Linked DNA regions of Saccharomyces cerevisiae S288C. Changing the gene in region 2 together with the main gene of any one other region gives a genetic interaction. Each region holds a gene or a part of one and is shown on either strand. Other genes may lie near its edges.

The links.
Region 1: mutations in ARO3 (region 2) and PIR5 together harm fitness more than expected from each alone (negative genetic interaction), as found in Saccharomyces cerevisiae (2 studies listed by BioGRID).

What each region holds. Positions count from the first base shown.
Region 1 is NC_001142.9:113,043-120,364, reverse strand, and holds PIR5 (beta-1,3-glucan linked protein), read left to right. Parts: upstream 1-1,539; coding exon 1,540-2,403; downstream 2,404-7,322. Other genes in the region: FMP33 (Fmp33p), read right to left, coding at 2,578-3,120; JJJ2 (Jjj2p), read left to right, coding at 4,736-6,487; YJL163C (uncharacterized protein), read left to right, coding at 7,032-7,322.
Region 2 is NC_001136.10:516,560-524,578, reverse strand, and holds ARO3 (3-deoxy-7-phosphoheptulonate synthase ARO3), read right to left. Parts: upstream 2,764-8,019; coding exon 1,651-2,763; downstream 1-1,650. Other genes in the region: mitochondrial 37S ribosomal protein mS47 EHD3, read left to right, coding at 1-1,368; cysteine-rich palmitoylated domain-containing protein CPP3, read right to left, coding at 3,110-3,265; YDR034C-A (uncharacterized protein), read left to right, coding at 3,887-4,063; YDR034C-C (gag protein), read left to right, coding at 5,223-6,539. UniProt on the Saccharomyces cerevisiae protein: Stereospecific condensation of phosphoenolpyruvate (PEP) and D-erythrose-4-phosphate (E4P) giving rise to 3-deoxy-D-arabino-heptulosonate-7-phosphate (DAHP).

The DNA.
Region 1 (7,322 bases), on a different chromosome or scaffold from region 2:
ACATAATCGAAATTGATTGTCGTTAGACTTCAAGTGTTCCTTTTATATCTCGAGGATTCCTACCATTCAAGCTAATAAATTTTTCACCAACCATTCCTTTTTTAGGATCTTTCTTATTTTGACCAAAATCTAAATTTAGCTCAAAATGTGGTGTTCCGCTTGAGAAAACACTCATTTGTACTATTAGTTTTCCTGATCTGGTAAAGAAATGAAAAATTAGGCTGAGTTGGCGACTTATCACTACAGACGGAAAGCCATTAATGAGCTTTTTTGTCTTTAATAATTTCCGAAATAGGAAATAGTAAGATCACTTAATATGAATAACTCCCAAGAATTACCATTTACGGCCCCTTCCAATAGAGGTGGGAAATGTGTATGTGCATTGTGAGGGTCGCCTAATTGGGCAGAAGGGGGGAGAAATGAGCGTGGCAAAGCAGTGAGATTGACTCGTTTTGCGGCCAGCAACGTGTTGGACATGGCGGACCTGCCTGCATTAATTATAGCACAAAGCCTATCATTCATCGCATCCTTGTGCAAGTTCTAAGTTCACCTCCATATGGATTAGCGGCCAGGATAATGGAAAAAATTTACCATACTTTTTTTTGCAGAATAGATCAACAGTTTGGTGCATTTGTTCCTTCTTGTTTTTTTTTTGCTTGTTTTTACAATTTTTACTGTTTTACTATGAACTGATGGCTGGTATAGTGACAGAGTTTCTACTTTTTTGCTACTTAGTAGACTACTATACTAACTAGGACATATGTTGTTCGTAACGGTAAATGCACTTAAAGTATTTTACTGTTTTTAATTGGATTTGCTTGTTGTAGTAATTTTTGGACTGATTTCGGTCAATCGCTATTTTAATTTTTACTGTTCCTTGCATCTTTTACTAATCCGAAATTAGCTCAGCTCAAATTTGTAGTTTACTAAAGTACGCTTTTCCTAAAAGACGAAAACACAAATATAGTGAAGACATTATCCGACTTTTTTGCCAAAAAGGGACAAAGCACGAAATTAAGTAAAACTGTGGTAAAAACTACAGAGGAACGTCGCATTGGCTAGCAAGGATCTATTGTTACTCTATCAAAACCCCTTTGCCAAGCTCACATATCCTATTTGCCGTTCCTGAAGGCATCCAACTAGGCTTGATATCATCTTACTTATATAGTGGGCTTCTGCTCCTTAACCTGATCAATTTCACCTCTAATTTTGTAGGATTCCTGAGAAAATACAGAAATTCTAACGTTCCTCTGATATATTACGAGTGAATCATTGGGTATATATAAGAGAAGTGGAGTAACAAAAGCTGTAGAAAGTAAGTTACACAGAGTCACAAAAGAATATCGACTTTTTGTGCAAGAAAATTCGACTGTTTTGACTCACAAAATTATTCTTTTTGCGAAAGAGTGGGGAAACGAAAACAGTTAAAAGAGTAAAATAACTTGTATACATATACTTATCTTCTTGTTTCGAAATTTCTGTTTAGTCTCGATTTTTTAATTCTATACAACTTACTGAAGAAGTGAACACCGCCCCAATATGCATTACAAGAAAGCATTTCTAGCATCTCTATTAAGTAGTATTGCGCTAACTGCGTACGCTCCACCTGAACCCTGGGCAACTTTAACTCCAAGCTCTAAAATGGATGGTGGCACAACAGAGTACCGGACCTCATTCGGTCTCGCTGTTATACCTTTCACCGTTACTGAAAGTAAGGTCAAAAGAAACGTCATTTCACAAATTAATGACGGTCAAGTGCAAGTAACGACACAAAAATTACCTCATCCAGTTTCGCAAATTGGAGACGGCCAAATACAAGTTACAACGCAGAAGGTGCCTCCAGTAGTGTCACATATTGTGTCACAAATAGGCGATGGTCAATTACAAATAACTACAGCTAAAAATGTTGTCACAAAGTCCACAATTGCTGTTCCAAGTAAAACTGTAACTGCGACAGCAACTTCAACCGCAACTGCTGTTTCTCAGATTCATGATGGTCAAGTGCAAGTTACTATTTCTTCAGCCAGTAGTAGTTCTGTGCTTTCCAAGAGTAAGTTAGAGCCAACAAAGAAACCAAATAATGAAAAAGTGATCAAGGTGCAAGCCTGTAAAAGTTCTGGCACCTTGGCAATAACGTTACAAGGAGGTGTTCTTATTGACTCCAGTGGTAGAATTGGATCGATAGTAGCAAACAGACAGTTCCAATTTGATGGTCCACCTCCACAGGCGGGCGCTATTTACGCTGGCGGCTGGTCGATAACGAAGCATGGCACTTTAGCTATTGGTGATAATGACGTGTTTTACCAATGTCTGTCGGGCACTTTCTATAACCTTTACGATCAGTCTATCGGGGGCCAGTGCAATCCCGTTCATTTACAAACAGTTGGTCTCGTCGATTGTTGAATCACCAACATTATAATCTTGCAGGTCTTGATTGTACTTCAAAAATATAACTAAAATAATAGTATAAAAGTAAGTCTGTCTTACTATGTATGGGGCGCGTTATAATTTTACGTATTCACAAACGAGTTTTCATTTACTTCATCGTTTTTATTTTCGGAGATGTTGCCTTCTGCATTACTCAAAGCGCACTCCAGCTTTTTCCAGCTGTTTCATCCTAAGTTTAAGTGCCATATAAATCAACGGTGGGAACCCTAAAACACTAACGACACTTCCCTTATAAAGAATGGATTTTTTGCCTAAGGTGGAATTGCCTATTAGGCTCGAAAGTTGAATGAGAAACCCCCAAACAATCGAAAATTGAGAGACATCACTGTACGTCAAAGAATGAAGTACTTTATGGAGGTCACTCTTTTGTAAGTCAAGCTCTTTCTCTTGATAGGTATCAAGTGCTGGCTTGAATATTCTATTGGGAGCGTCATGGACTATATTTACAATGTCGTCTTCTGCGATGGCATGGGGATCTTCTTGCTCTTTGGACTTATTCAAGCTATTTGATTCTAGATATAGGCATGCCAGACCTGTCCCATACAGTGTTGTCACTAAAAGACTAGTGTACAAATTACCCTTCGAAAATAAAGGTTTTGAGCCAAGATTGGGCGATGTGCCTGAAAACTTGGTGAATTGTGAGTTGTGACGTAACAACCTTGTGTATAGCATATGAATGAAAGAACTCTATGATATACTTGATTTATTTACCTTGCATCAAGTTTTCGTTATCCGCACCAACTTAAACTAATTTTATAATATACTTAAAATAGACATTCAGGGGAGTATTCAAAAAATCACGGAGGTTTTTATCAGCACTTTGGAAGGGAGCAAAAGCAGGCAAACTATCTCACCAGAGGTCTGAATGGTGGACTGCGAATATCGGAAGATAGGAAATACAACTTTGTTGATTGGCATTCTTATTTTTAGGCTGATCTATTATATTTAGGCAGTTTATGTTCCTAAAAATACATGTCGATCATCTGCTCCAAGCAAATAAGCTATTTACTATGAAGAAATTTTTAAATTAATGAGGCAGAAGTTACGCATATCAGAAAGACTCTAGATGTTCTCATTGTAAAGAACAGTTTACACTTGGTGATACGGACTAACAGGTATTCATATGGGAAGATATGAAAATTGTGCAAGGAATACGCCGCCAGACTTTATGATAGATTAATGGCATCGGAGTTGCTGCACTGTAATTTTTTAAGCATCGTGGCAGCCCTCGGTTCCATCCTAGCGTTTATAAATATCTAATATAGAGCAAACTCGCAATATTCTGTAAACTATGATTCCAATGGCAGTAGTTATTACCATTTCTAGCGAAAGGATCACTCTAGACGATATAAGTTTAAAATTTGTTGATGTAATTAGAGGTGTAGTCGTCTAGAAGAAGATATGGCATGTAATGTTTTGAATTTACCTCATCTAATAGCAGGAACACAGGTTTTTTGCAGAACAGAGAGGCATTTCTGGTATAGTTAAGATGTGGGAGAGGGACAAAGGCAGATTTGGAGGTGCAAGAAATTTGTCGTGGTTAGCGACTAGCATTGTGTTAAGTTTCGCATTGTATTGATTTTATAAGGGATGTATTGCATTCGGCTAAGGCAACATTTATGGATAACGAAGTGCGGTTGAGTTCTGGTATCGGTTTTGAGAGAGTCTCTGTTGCTGTTAAGATTCCAATTTACATATCTGTCCTGCACAGGTTAGCGCTGCGGCGTTGCACAGGCATGAAACTAGGAAAACGTACTTTGGGCAGATTTGTAAAAAAAATTCTATCAAAACAACTAGTACAGAACAGTTGAGTTTAGAGCCGGTGTCTATTATCATATGGGAAAGATGATCCTCTTGTTAATTTGGTAAGTAGTACTATTAGGTGTTGAATATTAACCGTTTATAATCCGATATAGTGTAACGGCTATCACATCACGCTTTCACCGTGGAGACCGGGGTTCGACTCCCCGTATCGGAGTATTTTTTATGTGATTAGCTAAATAGTTATTTTTTGAAATAGTTTGTAGTAGTTCACCTTTATCCTATTAAAATATAATATCACACGAAAATTATCTGTTTGTCCTCAATTCAGTTGATCATTGTGCTAGATGTTCAATATTGTGAAACTTTTACAATACCGATTCGGTGCGGACATCTTGAAAATACAATACCGTGCGATGCCTTTAAACTTTTTTTGAGGCATGAGCGTAAATAGACCTGGAATGTTCAATATAGACTGTAGCAAAGTGCTTCTTCAGTTTATGCTATTGTACACTGTACTATTCTTATGTCACAGGTAATAGAACCACAATTAGATAGAACAACCTATTATTCCATATTAGGCTTGACATCAAATGCGACTTCCTCCGAAGTACATAAATCATATCTAAAACTGGCCAGATTACTTCACCCAGATAAAACAAAATCTGATAAGTCTGAGGAATTATTCAAAGCTGTGGTGCATGCACATTCAATTTTAACTGATGAAGATCAAAAACTTCGATATGATCGAGATTTGAAAATCAAAGGTTTACACACTTACCAGCCGAAGAAAAACTGTCATATTTTCAAGACCAAGGCAAAGGAATCACAAGGGGCTAGTCCCACACTTGGTCAATCAGAAGCTTATCATAGGCAAAATAAACCTTATGAGCAACAGCCCTACGGTTTCGGTGTAGGCAAAAAAATGACCTCAAGCTCTAAGAGTAAGGTTCCGATATTCAAGTCCTTCAATTTAAAAAGCTACCAACGAAACCACTATTATTCATCCAAAAAGGAAAGGAAACATGGAAGTCCTGATATTGATTCTTTGTTCCATGAAACCAATGGAGCCTCAAAAGTAAGAATGACTGATGCCGGTAAAATGGATACGAACTCTCAGTTCCAAGAAATATGGGAAATATTGGGTAAAAATGCGTACACACATAAATCTTACTCTGAAGATCCAAATTCATGTTTGGGATCAGCACTAAGCGATCATGAAGAAGAAGAAGAAGCAGGAAAACAACAACAGCAACAGCAGCAACAACAGCAACAGCAGCAACATTATGGAATGACGTCGAAGTCTAGCAGTCCTGATGAAGAAAAAAAAAATAATAAAGAACCGAAAAGGGAAAGCAGAGTCTCTCCAGAGGAAAATGGCGAAGAAGAAACGGGACACAAACAATTTAAATTGCCCAAGACCAGTACTTTTTCTAGTGGATCCCATGATTCAAATTTGCAATCTCCTTTTTACAATCATGAGTATCGACATTACGCAAGAAGTAAATTCGAATGCAAGAATCAGTTTAGAAAGTCAGTTTCTCCCATTAAAGAGATACCTGCAACAACTAGTGCCAATGAAGGATGGAACATTTTGAGAGACATTATTGAAAAACTCAATATAAGCAATGTAGACGATCGAAATAAAGACTTGCTGTTTCGTCGGGATGAAATAGGTGATAAAAATCACAGCGACTCAATCGACATAGAAAATTTATCTATCAAAGAACCTAAAGGGATGAAAAGGAGAAAGAAAGATGATATATCTTTAGAAGAATTGTTCCAATCTTTACCAAGAGAAAAAGATTATTTTATGATGGATGCAATTAATGACTCGTTAGAATCAATCAATCTTTTTAAAAAGCCGAAGACCACTCAGAGTCACGAACAAGGTGGAACTTTTGCCCAAGCAGAAAGTAATCGTGCAAAATTCAAACCGTTACTAGAACAGTGTGGAATTACACCCGAGATCTTAGATTTGGAAATACCAGAGATTCCGGAATTTGATGCAGTGGCTGACCTTGAAACATTGAAGCTTAACGTGCAGCTGTTTAATAACCAATGTAACAAACTTAAAGAAACAATACATCAAGTATCATTACAGCGCCTGAGAGCAGATACGCAGTTCAGTGATATGTTAACCCAAAAGCAAAGTATTATGGTTTGGAAAACATACCTAGAATTTGATAAAAGTTTAATGGACAAATTGAACATCTTACAAGAAAGACAGATGCAGGTCATTAAAATTTTTTCCGAAAGATGTGACGGTAAAGTATAATCGAACGCTCTTCTTAATGAGCATATACCCGTCGTCCTTACGCCAGGATGGAAATAATTTGAATGAATAATGTAAAATATATAAAAGTATCTAGTCAGTACATTTCATGTCTCAATTATTAATATCTTAAATATATATTTAGTTATGGAAATTCAATAAACTACTGAAATAAATAGAAAATTCTTACAGAAAATGGTAAAAGTAAAAAAAAATTACCAAAGGGTGCACTTGGCAATTTAAAAGTACTTATAAACTGGTTTGGCTTCCAAGTGAATGAAAGTGCTATGGGATTATCATCAGGTAAGTACAGTGTATCTTACTAACATTGGCCGAGCGTTTATTGTTGTTCCGTGGAAGTTTATCATGATTTCCCGCCCTTAATCGAAATCAAAAAAAAAAAAAATAAAGGGTAAGGGATTCCTAAAAACCAACAAGATGAAGGGCTGATCTGCAAGAAGTCTAATAGACTTATAAGGAATACAAACCCTAGTTCTTGCATTTCACGTATACATCTTCAAACCGTGCGAAGCAAAGGCGCAGAACAATGTCAAACGAGGATGAAACAACTCGTTTAATGTCTTCAGATGAGATGGACTATTTATTGGAAACGGCTGGGATCAACGCCTTGGAAGAAATCATTAGTCAAAATGACAGTACTGGAATAAATTTGGATACTAATGAAACAGCTCAGGACAGTAGCTATGACTCTATCCGGCGCTCCCCCAGTATTTTGAGTGTTGCCAAAAGCGTTGAGGGAGAGCATGGACGTAGAAAACTATTATGCCTTTACGGCCTTGTTATGATTATCTGTATTGCGGAGTCTATTTCTATGACT
Region 2 (8,019 bases):
ACAGCTAGAGTTATCACGCTAAATAGGCCCAAAAAGCTCAATGCTTTGAACGCCGAAATGTCAGAATCCATGTTCAAGACTTTGAACGAGTATGCAAAGAGCGATACTACAAACTTAGTCATTTTAAAGTCATCCAACCGACCACGTTCGTTCTGTGCTGGTGGTGATGTAGCTACTGTGGCAATATTCAATTTTAACAAAGAATTTGCCAAGTCCATCAAATTTTTTACTGATGAATATTCTTTGAATTTTCAAATAGCAACTTACTTGAAACCAATTGTTACCTTCATGGACGGTATCACCATGGGTGGCGGCGTTGGTCTATCCATTCACACGCCCTTTAGAATTGCTACAGAAAACACCAAATGGGCCATGCCCGAGATGGACATTGGTTTTTTTCCAGATGTAGGCTCAACTTTTGCTCTCCCTAGAATCGTGACATTGGCTAACTCAAACTCACAAATGGCCCTGTATCTATGTCTTACAGGAGAAGTAGTCACAGGAGCAGACGCTTATATGCTCGGCTTAGCGTCTCATTACGTCAGTAGTGAAAATTTAGATGCTTTGCAGAAAAGATTAGGTGAAATTAGCCCCCCTTTTAATAACGATCCACAATCTGCATACTTCTTCGGGATGGTTAACGAATCCATCGACGAATTCGTATCACCATTACCAAAAGATTATGTTTTCAAGTATTCTAACGAGAAATTAAACGTTATTGAAGCCTGTTTTAACTTGTCTAAAAATGGTACTATTGAAGACATAATGAATAACTTACGTCAATATGAAGGTTCTGCGGAAGGTAAGGCTTTCGCACAAGAAATCAAAACGAAATTGTTAACCAAGTCACCATCCTCTCTTCAAATCGCCTTGAGATTGGTGCAAGAGAATTCCAGAGATCACATAGAATCTGCTATCAAAAGAGACTTATACACAGCAGCTAACATGTGCATGAACCAGGACTCTTTGGTGGAATTCTCTGAAGCCACAAAGCATAAACTTATTGATAAACAAAGGGTCCCGTATCCATGGACAAAGAAGGAACAGTTATTTGTATCTCAGTTGACATCTATCACATCTCCTAAACCATCGCTACCAATGTCATTACTAAGAAATACCTCGAATGTTACTTGGACTCAATATCCCTACCATTCTAAATACCAATTGCCTACAGAACAGGAAATCGCTGCGTATATTGAAAAGAGAACGAATGATGACACTGGCGCCAAAGTTACCGAAAGAGAAGTACTAAATCACTTTGCCAATGTGATTCCTTCTAGAAGAGGGAAACTGGGTATCCAATCGCTATGTAAAATTGTTTGTGAAAGAAAATGTGAAGAAGTTAACGATGGCTTAAGATGGAAATAAAACCTGAAATAGCAGCCCCGTGGCTCGTAAAGAATTTTGCCAACACTTCTATGCATGTAAATAATAAAAGTAAAACATAACGCTATATTTGTATATGGATGTTTATTTAATGATACATAGAAAACTGTCATTTTCTTTCTCTTTTCTTATAAGTATTTTTTTTTATAAAAGGCAAAAAAAAAAAAGTTTGAATGTAATAAATATGGTTCAGAAAGAAATTACAATAAATCAAAAGTTTTGAGTATCATTCAAGATTATTTGCATTTTTCCCTCATTTACAGGCTATTTTTTCAAGGCCTTTCTTCTGTTTCTAACACCTTCTGCCAATAGCTCCAATACCTGTTCGGTGGACTCCCAGCCAATACAAGCATCCGTAACAGAACAACCATACTTCAATCCCTCTCTGCCACCTTCTTTGGGAATATCTTGTCTACCTTCATTTATGTTGGACTCAATCATAACACCACAGAGACTATTCTCACCCTCCGTCAGCTGGTCATAAATACATTTGGCAACCTTTGGTTGGTTCTTGAAATCTTTATTACTGTTGCCGTGGGAACAATCGATCATAATTCTTTTCTGGGAATCATCAGTCAAACCGGCCTTTTCTAACTGTTTCTTAGTATTTTGAACACTTTCTTTGTCAAAGTTAGTACCGTTCTTACCACCTCTCAAGATCAGGAAGGTATCCTTGTTACCTTCAGTGCCCACGATAGCAGTGACACCTGGCTTTGTGACAGAAAGGAAGTAATGTTCATGTGCAGCGGCTCTCATAGCGTCGATGGCGACTTGCAAACCACCATCAGTACCGTTCTTAAATCCAATAGGGAAAGATAGACCGGATGCTAATTCTCTGTGCAGTTGGGATTCAGTAGTTCTGGCGCCGATGGCACCCAAGGAGAAACAATCACTCAAAAACTGCGGAGAAATGGTATCCAACATCTCACCAGCAATGGGTAATTTTTCAACCAGTTTTATGAACATTTCTCTCGAAATCCGTAGACCTTTATTGATTTGAAAAGAGTTATTCATATCAGGGTCGTTAATCAACCCTTTCCAGCCAACAGTAGTCCTTGGTTTTTCTAAATACGCTCTCATAATAATCAATAAGTCTTTTGACAACTTTTCTGAAATTTTAGCCAATCTGTCAGCGTAATCGTAAGCGGCTTTGGGGTCATGTAGGGAACATGGCCCGATCACGATAACTAAACGATCATCTTTACCATTCAAAATATCACAGACGGAGTCTCTTGCCTTGATAATGTTTTCCTCACCTTTGGCTGAAATTGGAAATTCATGTTGAAGCAGATCTGGAGGGGTTAATGGATCATAACCTTTGATTCTCCAGTCTTCCAAGCGTTTCCTGTCACCGGCGTGATCGTTTTTAATGAACATAATGCTATAAAGTGTTCTTGTAACGTAATAGGGGTAGTAGCTATAAATATAAATGAGAAATAGTGAAAATAAATATGTCGTTCGTATACAAGTAACAGGAAGAAAAAAAAGAAGAGAGAGAAAATGCAAACACTTATAAACACATGCATGTATTTAATGCAGCAAGCATACTTTCCGATGTGACTAATACTTGAGCAATGAAAAAATATAAAAAAGGAAAGTGAGGAAGCTTTTAAATATATGTCACTATGTACGCATAAATTTGAGAAGATACGCAGCTGCTTCTTTTTTTTCAGCGGCTAAATATGATGTTCTTTCCATACTAATTTTTAGCTGTCGATTAGAATTAAAAAACGTCACAACATAGGTTAATTAAACATAGACAACATAGGAAGTGACAACAGGTTCTACAGCAACCACCGGATTCTCTCCGAGGAGGAGGCTGTTGGACATAGACTGGTTGTTGTTGTGGGGCATAATGCATATTTTGATGATGCCTCATTTTGGTATTGCTAACTTAGACTTTTTTAGTTGACAATTAGGATTATTTTAATTCACAACATAACTGAGAAACATTTAAATACAGTTGAAAACTGGGAGGGGCGAGAGGGGAAGGAGAAAATGAAAAATCGAGCTTGTATAATTTTTAAATAGAAATTGCCCTTATTTCTTCGCCTTTTTCCTTTTTTCAGGGTATCGAAAAAAAATGCGAGGGGCTGTGCAATTCAAAGCCAAGAAAGAAAAATAAAACAAGAGGGTTAAAAAATAGAAAAGGTCCTACCCGGATTCGAACCGGGGTTGTCCGGATCAAAACCGAAAGTGATAACCACTACACTATAGGACCCTAAAATGGACGATTGGAACCTTCTTTCGTACCTTCTTGAACAAAGCATTTTGAGTAGAAAATTCATCAATCCTAAATTTGATATTGACTTAGGTTATGGTTTACTCTTCTTTACAGAAATACAAAAGGCATGCTGATTGTTGGAATAAAAATCCATTATCATCTATGATAATTGTGCGGATTCTGATGTAATTGTTGGGATTCCATTTTTAATAAGGCAATAATATTAGGTATGTAGATATACTAGAAGTTCTCCTCCAGGATATAGGAATCCCCATAATGGAATCTATATTTCTACATGCTAATATTACGATCATTCCTCATTCAGTTTTATATGTTTCATTATCCTATTACATTATCAATCCTTGCGTTTCAGTTTCCACTAATTTAGATGACTATTTCTCATCATTTGTGTCATCTTCTAACACCGTATATGATAATATACTAGTAACATAAATACTAGTTAGTAGATGATAGTTGGTTTTTATTCCAACAGTGTATCAACTAGTGGTCATACTATCAATATATTATCATATACGGTATTAGATGATGACAGAAGTTATGGAAAGCTTCGAAGTTAGAGGAAGCTGAAATGCAAGGATTGATAATGTAATAGGATAATGAAACATATAAAACGAAATGAGGAATAATCGTAACATTAGCATGTAGAAATATAGATTCCATTTTGAGGATTCCTAAATCCTCGATGAGAACTTCTAGTAAACCCTGTATACCTAATATTATAGCCTTTATTAACAATGGAATTCCAACAATTATCACAAAATTCACAGAATTTCCAGTTTAATATCAAGAATAGGTGGATAATACGGTAATCGTATGGCCGCCATTGTTATGAAAGACAGTTATTCCTAAGTATATTGAATATACCAGGGTCACTATCGAGAATGTAGAATTTCCCATAAGGAAAGCCATGAGTTCGTATAATATTATGATTGTCTCCTCTCTTCTTTTCTATATCATCATATGATTATTTCTATTGTGTTATTAGTTTTTACATTTCAGTCCTCAGTACTTTTGTGAGAGGAGCTAAAAAAAAAAAAAAAAAAAAAAACATTACTTGGAAAAGGGAGGCATAGGAAAAAAAAAATGTCTAATATCGAAGATTGAGGAAAAAAATAAGTTATTGAAGGATGCGAGGTTCGAACTCGCGCGGACAACCGTCCAACAGATCTTAAGTCTGCCGCCTTAGACCACTCGGCCAACCCTCCGTAAAATCACTTGCCTGTTTTCAGATTCTGTTCTTATTCGTTTAGGTAAGAAAGAATATTCAAGGGAGGATGACTTTCGAAGATTGTATTTTTCTTGTTGGAATAAAAATCAACTATCATCTACTAACTAGTATTTACGTTACTAGTATATTATCATATACGGTGTTAGAAGATGACGCAAATGATGAGAAATAGTCATCTAAATTAGTGGAAGCTGAAACGCAAGGATTGATAATGTAATAGGATCAATGAATATTAACATATAAAATGATGATAATAATATTTATAGAATTGTGTAGAATTGCAGATTCCCTTTTATGGATTCCTAAATCCTGGAGGAGAACTTCTAGTATATCTACATACCTAATATTATTGCCTTATTAAAAATGGAATCCCAACAATTATCTCAAAATTCACCCAATCTTCATGGTAGCGCCTATGCTTCGGTTACTTCTAAGGAAGTCCCATCAAATCAAGATCCGTTAGCCGTTTCAGCTTCCAATTTACCGGAATTTGATAGAGATTCCACTAAGGTTAATTCTCAACAAGAGACAACACCTGGGACATCAGCTGTTCCAGAGAACCATCATCATGTCTCTCCTCAACCTGCTTCAGTACCACCTCCACAGAATGGACAGTACCAACAGCACGGCATGATGACCCCAAACAAAGCTATGGCCTCTAACTGGGCACATTACCAACAACCATCTATGATGACGTGTTCACATTATCAAACGTCACCTGCGTATTATCAACCGGACCCACACTATCCGTTGCCACAGTATATCCCACCACTGAGTACTTCCTCACCTGATCCAATCGATTTAAAAAATCAACACTCTGAAATACCTCAAGCTAAGACAAAGGTGGGAAATAACGTCTTACCACCACACACTTTAACATCAGAAGAAAACTTTTCTACATGGGTTAAATTTTACATCAGATTTTTGAAGAACTCTAATCTCGGTGACATCATTCCAAATGACCAGGGTGAAATCAAAAGACAAATGACTTATGAAGAACATGCGTATATATACAATACCTTCCAAGCATTTGCCCCATTTCATTTATTGCCAACATGGGTAAAACAAATTTTAGAAATTAATTATGCTGACATCCTTACAGTCCTTTGTAAAAGTGTGTCCAAAATGCAAACTAACAATCAAGAATTAAAGGATTGGATAGCTCTTGCCAACCTTGAGTACGACGGAAGTACATCTGCTGATACATTTGAAATTACAGTCAGTACGATCATTCAGAGGCTAAAAGAAAACAATATCAATGTTAGCGACAGATTGGCCTGTCAACTAATACTTAAAGGTCTATCCGGTGACTTCAAATACCTACGTAATCAATATCGTACCAAAACGAACATGAAACTTTCCCAATTATTCGCTGAAATTCAATTAATATATGACGAAAATAAAATCATGAATCTAAATAAACCGTCCCAATACAAACAACACAGCGAATACAAAAATGTTTCTCGCACATCTCCAAACACGACTAACACAAAGGTTACAACTCGTAATTATCAGAGAACAAATAGTTCAAAACCAAGAGCAGCAAAAGCTCACAATATTGCTACATCTAGTAAATTCTCAAGGGTGAACAATGATCACATTAATGAATCAACCGTTTCATCACAATACTTAAGCGATGACAACGAACTTAGTCTTAGGCCAGCAACAGAAAGAATCTAAGCCAACACACACAATAGACTCGAATGACGAACTACCTGATCACCTTCTTATTGATTCAGGAGCTTCGCAAACGCTTGTCAGATCAGCCCATTATTTACACCATGCAACACCCAATTCTGAAATAAACATAGTCGATGCTCAAAAACAAGACATTCCTATAAATGCCATTGGTAATCTTCACTTCAACTTTCAGAACGGCACCAAAACATCAATAAAAGCACTACACACACCAAACATAGCCTATGATCTATTAAGTTTGAGTGAGCTGGCTAATCAAAATATTACTGCCTGCTTTACCAGAAACACTTTAGAAAGATCGGATGGTACAGTACTAGCTCCCATAGTCAAACATGGAGACTTTTACTGGTTATCTAAAAAATACCTAATTCCTTCGCACATTTCAAAGCTAACAATAAACAACGTCAACAAAAGCAAAAGCGTAAATAAATATCCATATCCGTTAATACATCGAATGCTTGGACATGCTAACTTCCGAAGTATTCAGAAGTCTCTTAAGAAGAATGCAGTTACATATTTGAAGGAATCGGATATTGAATGGTCTAACGCTAGCACATATCAATGTCCTGACTGTCTAATCGGCAAAAGCACGAAACATAGACATGTCAAAGGATCACGACTAAAGTACCAAGAATCATATGAGCCTTTTCAGTACTTGCATACCGATATATTTGGTCCTGTACATCACTTACCGAAAAGTGCACCTTCTTACTTTATATCGTTTACAGATGAGAAAACCAGATTCCAATGGGTGTACCCATTACACGACCGTCGTGAAGAATCTATCCTCAATGTTTTTACATCGATATTAGCATTTATTAAGAACCAATTCAATGCTCGCGTTCTAGTTATCCAGATGGATCGTGGCTCCGAGTACACTAACAAAACTCTTCATAAGTTCTTTACGAACAGAGGTATTACTGCATGCTATACAACCACGGCAGATTCTAGAGCACACGGTGTCGCTGAACGATTAAATCGTACTTTATTAAACGATTGTCGCACACTGCTTCATTGCAGTGGTCTACCAAATCATCTATGGTTCTCAGCAGTCGAATTTTCTACTATAATCAGAAATTCATTAGTCTCACCAAAAAACGATAAATCTGCAAGACAACATGCAGGTTTAGCTGGACTGGACATTACTACTATACTACCTTTCGGTCAACCGGTTATAGTTAACAACCATAATCCCGACTCGAAAATACATCCTCGTGGCATTCCAGGTTACGCCTTACATCCGTCACGAAACTCTTATGGCTATATTATCTATCTTCCATCATTAAAAAAGACAGTAGATACTACCAATTACGTTATATTACAAGACAAGCAATCCAAATTGGACCAATTCAATTATGATACACTCACCTTTGATGATGATCTCAATCGTTTAACAGCCCATAACCAATCTTTTATTGAAAAAAATGAAACAGAGCAGTCATATGATCAAAATACAGAATCT